Oryzias latipes: one gene and its partner. The protein of the gene in region 2 purifies or fractionates together with the protein of the main gene of each other region. This does not show direct contact. Links are inferred from orthologs where the notes say so. Each region holds a gene or a part of one and is shown on either strand. Other genes may lie near its edges.

The links.
Region 1: the proteins of mta1 (region 2) and dnmt1 purify together in Homo sapiens (affinity purification with western blotting; 4 studies listed by BioGRID and IntAct, with this or other methods). This does not show direct contact. The link is inferred for Oryzias latipes from reciprocal best matches to the Homo sapiens genes MTA1 and DNMT1.

Annotation. Positions count from the first base shown.
Region 1 is NC_019866.2:8,451,606-8,455,256, forward strand, and holds the end of dnmt1 (DNA (cytosine-5)-methyltransferase 1), read left to right. Parts: intron 1-18; coding exon 19-211; intron 212-341; coding exon 342-432; intron 433-504; coding exon 505-639; intron 640-835; coding exon 836-1,118; intron 1,119-1,209; coding exon 1,210-1,351; intron 1,352-1,468; coding exon 1,469-1,635; intron 1,636-1,744; coding exon 1,745-1,922; intron 1,923-2,012; coding exon 2,013-2,208; intron 2,209-2,283; coding exon 2,284-2,447; intron 2,448-2,673; coding exon 2,674-2,790; intron 2,791-2,888; coding exon 2,889-2,982; intron 2,983-3,070; coding exon 3,071-3,108; 3' UTR 3,109-3,330; downstream 3,331-3,651. UniProt on the Homo sapiens protein: Methylates CpG residues. Preferentially methylates hemimethylated DNA. Associates with DNA replication sites in S phase maintaining the methylation pattern in the newly synthesized strand, that is essential for epigenetic inheritance.
Region 2 is NC_019880.2:4,663,104-4,666,754, forward strand, and holds part of mta1 (metastasis-associated protein MTA1), read right to left. Parts: intron 3,136-3,651; coding exon 3,036-3,135; intron 2,787-3,035; coding exon 2,598-2,786; intron 2,146-2,597; coding exon 2,071-2,145; intron 1,908-2,070; coding exon 1,849-1,907; intron 675-1,848; coding exon 538-674; intron 223-537; coding exon 71-222; intron 1-70. UniProt on the Homo sapiens protein: Transcriptional coregulator which can act as both a transcriptional corepressor and coactivator. Acts as a component of the histone deacetylase NuRD complex which participates in the remodeling of chromatin.

The DNA of each region.
Region 1 (3,651 bases), on a different chromosome or scaffold from region 2:
TTTTTCCTCACCCCCCAGACCAGAAAACACTCACAAAGGTGTTAAAGCGAGTTACCATGCTGACATTAACCAGCTCTACTGGAGTGATGAAGAAGTGACTGTCCGCATGTCTGAAGTTCTGGGCCGCTGTCAAATAGAATATGCAGAAGACCTGATTGAATCGGTCCAAGACTATTCCAGCGGTGGACCAGACCGCTTCTATTTTCTGGAGGTACCGTTAGGATTACTTTTTGTACCATAATTCAAGAACTTGCTGTTCAGCTTCTTTATAGGTGACTGGTTGTATGATTGTGTACGCAGGTGAAAATGGAACCAATGTTTAATGTTTGTTTCCCTCACAGGCCTACAATGCAAGGTCTAAAAGCTTTGAGGATCCTCCAAATCACGCCCGGTCTGCAGTTCATAAAGGAAAAGGAAAGGGCAAAGGAAAAGGTTGGTTTGAACTCTGACATGTAGAAATGAATCACCTCTGAGATCACTGAAACCTGGTCTCTATCCCATCAGGAAAAGGCAAAGGGAAGGCTTCACAGGAACAGCAGGACTCCAACGTTGGCCCACAGATGCCTAAAGTTCCAAAATATCGCACCCTTGATGTTTTCTCTGGCTGTGGGGGCCTGTCCGAGGGTTTCCATCAAGCCGGTAATAAATCCATGTCAGAATGTTTGGGGGTCTGGAATGTCTTTTTTTTTCGTTTTCTGATCAATTATGCAAAAAATTAGCTTTGTATTTAAGTAAGCAGTGAATCTTTTGGAAAATGGAGGACTTCATGTGTGGAATAAAACACACAGTTGTTTATTTTGCAGTGCATTGCTCAGACTCAATCTGCTGCTTTCAGGCATCTCGGAGTCACTGTGGGCCATCGAGATGTGGGAGCCGGCAGCTCAGGCCTTCAGGCTCAACAACCCCGGCACCACAGTCTTCACAGAGGACTGCAACGTCCTGCTGAAGCTGGTCATGTCCGGGGAGAAGACCAATTCTCTGGGTCAGAAGCTGCCGCAGAAGGGAGACGTGGAGATGCTTTGTGGGGGGCCTCCATGTCAAGGCTTCAGTGGAATGAATCGCTTCAACTCTCGCACTTACTCCAAGTTCAAGAACTCGCTTGTGGTTTCCTATCTGAGGTATTTCTTGTCAGGATGTTGTTGCTGTTTTACAGTTGAACTGACTGTTAAAATGATTTTATTTGCCCCCCCCCCCCCCCCCCCCCCCTAGTTACTGTGATTACTACAGACCCAAGTTCTTCTTGCTGGAGAATGTGAGGAACTTTGTTTCCTTCAAGAACTCCATGGTTCTGAAGCTGACTCTGCGCTGCCTTGTGCGGATGGGCTACCAGTGTACCTTTGGTGTTCTTCAGGTGAGACTGACCTTCAGACTGCGGCCTAGACTGTTCCTACGGGTCTTCTGCATGTGTGAAGCTCTTATACTGCACCTAAGCACGAGTCCCTGAGGTGACGTTTGTTCTGCTCCTCAGGCGGGTCAGTATGGCGTTGCCCAAACACGCCGCAGAGCTATCATCCTGGCTGCTGCTCCAGGAGAGAAGCTGCCTCGCTACCCTGAACCGCTGCACGTGTTTGCGCCCAGAGCCTGCTCTCTGAGCGTGGTGGTGGATGAAAAGAGATACGTCAGTAATGTTACCCGGTAAAGAAAACCCTATAAAATAAAACAGTGAAGCTGTCTGCTTCACTGACTTCAGATGAAAGAAAAATATGTCTAACACTTCTGGGATTATTTTTGTTTTTAACATCAGAGGTAACGGGGGCATCTACAGAACCATCACAGTCAGAGACAGCATGTCCGACCTCCCCGAGATTCGCAATGGTGCATCTGCCCTGGAGATTTCCTACAACGGGGAGCCTCAGTCTTGGTTTCAGAGACAGATCAGAGGCACGCAGTATCAGCCCATTCTCAGGGATCATATCTGCAAGGTAAGTTTACCTGATGCTCTTCAAAAATACCTAAATGATGCATAACGTGTGTGTAGATGTACCAAAGAGCATCTGTCTGTCTGTTTGAAGGACATGAGCGCTCTGGTTGAGGGTCGGATGCGTCACATTCCCTTGGCTCCAGGCTCTGATTGGAGAGATCTGCCCAACATTGAGGTTCGCCTCAAAGATGGCACCATGACCAAGAAGCTGCGCTACACCCACACTGACAAGAAGAATGGCCGCAGCAGCACCGGCGCCCTCAGAGGCGTCTGTACTTGTGCCGGAGGTGAGCAGCACTTTTTTCAGGATGTCCTGAAATCATCTCCAGTGTGACTCTGACCCGCTCTGTGTGTCGTTTTAGGGAAGCCTTGTGATCCCGCAGACCGGCAGTTCAACACTCTGATCCCCTGGTGTCTGCCCCACACCGGGAACCGCCACAACCACTGGGCCGGGCTTTATGGCAGACTGGAGTGGGATGGGTTTTTCAGCACGACTGTCACCAACCCCGAACCCATGGGCAAGCAGGTGCAGAGACTTTGCTTTTCTGTATTACTTTAAAAAGAGCAATCATAAGCAGAAGAGTGATGATCAGAGTAATCAAAAATTAGAATATAAAAGTAGTCCATTATTATCAAAGTGTATTTAAGAATATCGGGCTGTGTTGTTAGAAGTTAGAATTTGATCAGCTGACTGGACTCTTCAAGCTGGAGATCAGCATTTAATCTTTTGGTTTTAACTCGTTGATATTCAGGGCCGCGTTCTGCACCCTGAGCAGCACCGAGTGGTCAGTGTCAGGGAATGTGCTCGCTCTCAAGGATTTCCTGACACCTACCGCTTCTTTGGAAACATCCTGGACAAACACAGACAGGTGAAGTCTTTCAGTCATTGGATTGACACCATTTCAAGACGTTTTCTTTCTTTGCTTTGTCATTTACTTTTATTGTTTTTATGTTTTATGTTCTTCAGGTTGGAAATGCCGTTCCACCTCCGCTCTCCAGAGCTATTGGGCTGGAGATTAAGAAGTGTGTCATTGAGAGAATGAAGGAAGAAGAAACAACAGGTGCCTGATTTTGGGTCAATGCTAACTTCTCTGATTTTTCTTTAAAAAAGAGAAATATGAACATGTTTTCTTTATTTTTTGTCTGCAGATGTCATCAAACAAGAAAAGATGGAAGTCTCTGATTAGTTCATTTCCTGTTCAAGCACAATAAGATCTAGAAGTTCTGGGTTTTGGGATTGTTTTATTTTTTACTATTTGCTGTCTGTGAATTGACCACTATGGACATGTAATGTAGTACCCATCCCGTGTTTTAACTGCTTTTAATCATGTTCCTCGATGTTTAATGTGCAACAAATTGTATGTAGTTTTTATATGTTAAAATTCAAATAAAGCTCTTATGAAATTTTATTTTAGACTGAAGTAAATGGATATTTCACTCCGCAACCTGTTATCTATAGCATTAACTCCCATTCATGTATGCAGGTCAAATCCAAAATGTCCTTTTTTAATCTAAGTCCAGATTTAATGTTAATGCTTTGAAACAGACAAGGTTCTAAAGAACTGAAAGTGTCCCTGGATTTTTTCCTGTTTAGAATTGGCTAAAGTTTTTACAAATTTCCCTACTATGCTTTGAAATTTGTTTATTGCAAGCAATTCAGACTAAAAGTATGTAGATTAAGTTTAGTCATTGGAAAATGAAAAATGCACACATTCTTTTAACCCTTGTGC
Region 2 (3,651 bases):
TTAGATGCGGGACCGGCGTATTTAGAATAAAGTCAGGAGTGAGGCCTCAGCTCGGCGTGTGGGTTCGTACCATGGTGCTGCGGTTGGGTCCAGGCCTCTCGCCCTCCAGCCGCGTGGGCATCTTCAGGCCGCCGTACTTCTTCCAGTAGGTCCAGCATGAGGCGCACAGGCGGCACTGCATGTTGGGGGGGCCCCAGGAGTACCACTGGTAAGAGCTGCTCGCTACAAACACACAAATAAACAGAAATTTCATCGAAAGGCTTCAATTCCATCCTAAAATATCAACAGAGCACTGATATGAATTTTCATTAGTTATCAGGTTTTGTTCAAAGAAATGTAAAAAAACGATAAATTGGTTCTGAAAAGAGCCAAACGGACAACACTAGAAGAAAAACGACAGATGCTTTTGCATGAAGGAGCGAAAACTTTAATCATTTTTCAGTCAATTAAATACAACCGTTAAAATAATCGAGCGCTTCAGGGCTGATGATCTCATTTTGTCAGAGCGCCGCACCGTTGATGATCGGAGTGACTCACTGTAGCAGCTTTCACAGGCTCTGCCCAGGCCGGGGATCTGACCCGAGCCCGGCGGTCCCGGGACGCCTCCAGCCACCGCTCCGTTCAGAAGAGCCGGCTTGACGTTGTTACTCAGCTGGTTTGGGTTGGGCTTGTTGCTGGAGGGAGCCGAGCACAAGAGACCACATCAGACCAGAAGAGACGAGCACATCCGAGAAGTTCAACCGAGAACGGAAACATGTTATGGGCTACCAACGATCTTTCCAACACGTTAGGAGGAGAAATGGCAGATATTTCCTATTTATTTCATAGTAGAACTCTATAAAAGGAGAAAAACCATTAGAAAATAAAAATAAACAGATGACTGAAAAGAAACTGACTAAAACAGGGAAACGGATGCAATCGTGTGAATTAAATAAAAACAGTATTTTTAGCATTTAGCATTGGTTTGTAATTGGAATTCAATCACACCAGCTCTTCACAATACTGCAGAAACGACCCCCCTCCCCCACCAAAGGTAAAGATTTCAAAAAGCTATTTAGCTTTGAAATCTTTGCTTTAAAACACAGTTGTGATAATAATTCTGATAGCCCAGAAACACTGTATGGAGTTTAGTGAGCCTTTGCCTGTTTGCTCCTTTTTTCCATTTTGTTTTCTCCTCGTCTTTGCGGATTTATGTGTTTTTTTTGTGTCAATTTTTGTGATTTTTGCATTGAAAAATTACAACATTTACTGTTTGGAGTTGATTGTGGAACTATTGTGTAATATGATGAAAAATAAAGAGAAGGAAAAAAAGATGCTGGGGTTGTTGTAAAATAAAAAAATATGATAAGAATAAATTTAAGTTAAAAAAAGGCATAAAAAGGCCCAGTACTAATAAAAACCAATGAAACTAATAGGTAAAAAAAAAATTTCAGTATGAGCTACATGTGTTTCCAAAAAGGGGTTTCATTATAGAACCCAAAATATTTTTCAACCAGTACATTTCTGTTTATTTCACCATACAATTAAAATCAAAATCCACACAAAGTGTGAAATAACCTTGAATAGATGCTCGTATAATCATAATTAATGTTGTGTATCTGCAAAAAGCACAATTAAATGTTTCTTTTGTTCGGCTGGAAAATCCAAAGATTTAATATCCTTAAAAATTGACATTTTTTTCTCCATTTTGCTCTAAATGAAATGGCATGTTTTTCCAGTGGCTGCATCTCTAGAGCAGATTGTGAAGCTTTGCTACTTTATGATTAAAAAAAAAAAAACATTTCTGCGTCTCAAACATTAGAAATAAAACAGGTCCGACAAGAAAACCTTTAATTGCGACAAACTCACTAGTTGGGGATGTAGACTTGCTTCAGCTTGCTCTCTGCTTCTGCTGCTTTTAGCCGTTTCTGGAACAGTTTGGAGGGAAAAAAAGAAATCAAAAGGATTTTAGTTTGTTTTTCTGCTTTAGTGCAAAAGAAGAACTGTCTGATCATCAACATGTGAATTTTTTAAAGGATGACCAGCAGCTGCAGCAAAGGAGCTTTAATACAAAGTAGAAACTACAGTCACCTGCTGCACGTATCTGTCTGTGGTCTTCCACATGTAGTAATACTCGATTATACTCGTCAGGGATTTCCAGGGCAACTACAGGAAGATAGAAACAAATATAGTTAAACAAACAAAAATAAAATGTTATTTAAATCTTAAAAATGTAACCAAATGGGACATTTTGACCCATCAAATGTGCTCTTATAGGTTTTTTTCCTCTTTTTTTTTGCTGGAGGAGTTTGATTGGAAGCTGCTGCCCTCAGTACTCGCCCCACCCATTCTGTGGTTTTCTTTTCTGGATTGAACAGACCCAAGAATGAACAGCACTGTCAGGATCTGGCCACCAGGGGGCAGACTGCCTCATGATGTGACATAACCACATTGACAATGTTCCACTTAGTTCAGCGTGGCTGTCCCCTGAGCATTTATTCAGGTACTCAAACGCGAAAGAGGACAGCATGGCTACTGTTTTTTTTTGTGCTGAATTGAACCAGAACGTCTATATTTTGTATTTTTTCCTTTAATATTCCATCATGTTTGACACTTACAAAATCTTGCTGAATATCTGTGAAGTCTTTGCCATATTTCTCCAGCGCCTCCTCAAACAGATTTGCCTCCGAGGCGCTCCACTCCTCCATCTCGTCCCTGCAGAGGACGGGTCCCCCCTGAGGCACCAGCGCGGCGATGGCCCGGGTCATGTCGTAGCCGGCGGCATGGAGGGTGTCCATGGCGTGAAACTATTGACGAGAGGGAAAAAGCTGCTTCAGCTTGTTGAAGCTGCTAAACTCCAGCAACATTCATGCAAAAATGCAGCTCTTCTGGCAGATTTTGGAGTCCATCTTTGGGCTTAAAGGCTTCTCATCCATCTTTTATAACTAAGGTTTAGATCCAGGCCGGCACAGACTAGCAGTAGTCCTTTAGGGCCCACGATTGTATACTATGAAGTACAGCCCCAAAACAATCACAGCTTTCGAGTTTCGTCTCACCAAAGTGATGTCTCTGGAAGCTGCAGCGGCGCTCATGTGGAGGCTCGGCTGCCGCACCGAGCTGCTGCAGTCCAACGCTCGGGCGAACGTACCTACTGAGCTGCAAGACAAAGATAACAAGTTACACGTTCGTCACTACGGGAAGGAAGAACATCTTAAATCCGATTTGATTCCAAAACCCAGATCAACGGTTCACAGATGAAACCACAACTCTAACTAGTTACTGTTTTATGTTTGAATGGTTGTTCTATGTATGTCTTTGTTCTAGATGTGTGACAAGGAGATCAGAATCAACAAAACATAAACACTCAAAGATGTTGAAAGAAATCTTTTTGTCTCACTCAAAGATTTTTCTGTCAACTTCCTGGTTAACTCCAGTCGCAAACAAAGCAAACGTCAGTGTTGATTTGGGTCATTTCACAACAAATGTTGAAAATGTTCGCCACAGATTTTCCTCTTCAAACTTTTGCCGACTACAGTAAAAGTAGATCGATGACAAGAAGATAGTAAATGAAGACACAGCAAAGCCTCAATAAAATGACGCAAAAACACTCAATCTAAACCGACAGTGTTTCCAACAGACTAGACTTTTTTTATTGTTCGTATAAATACCAAA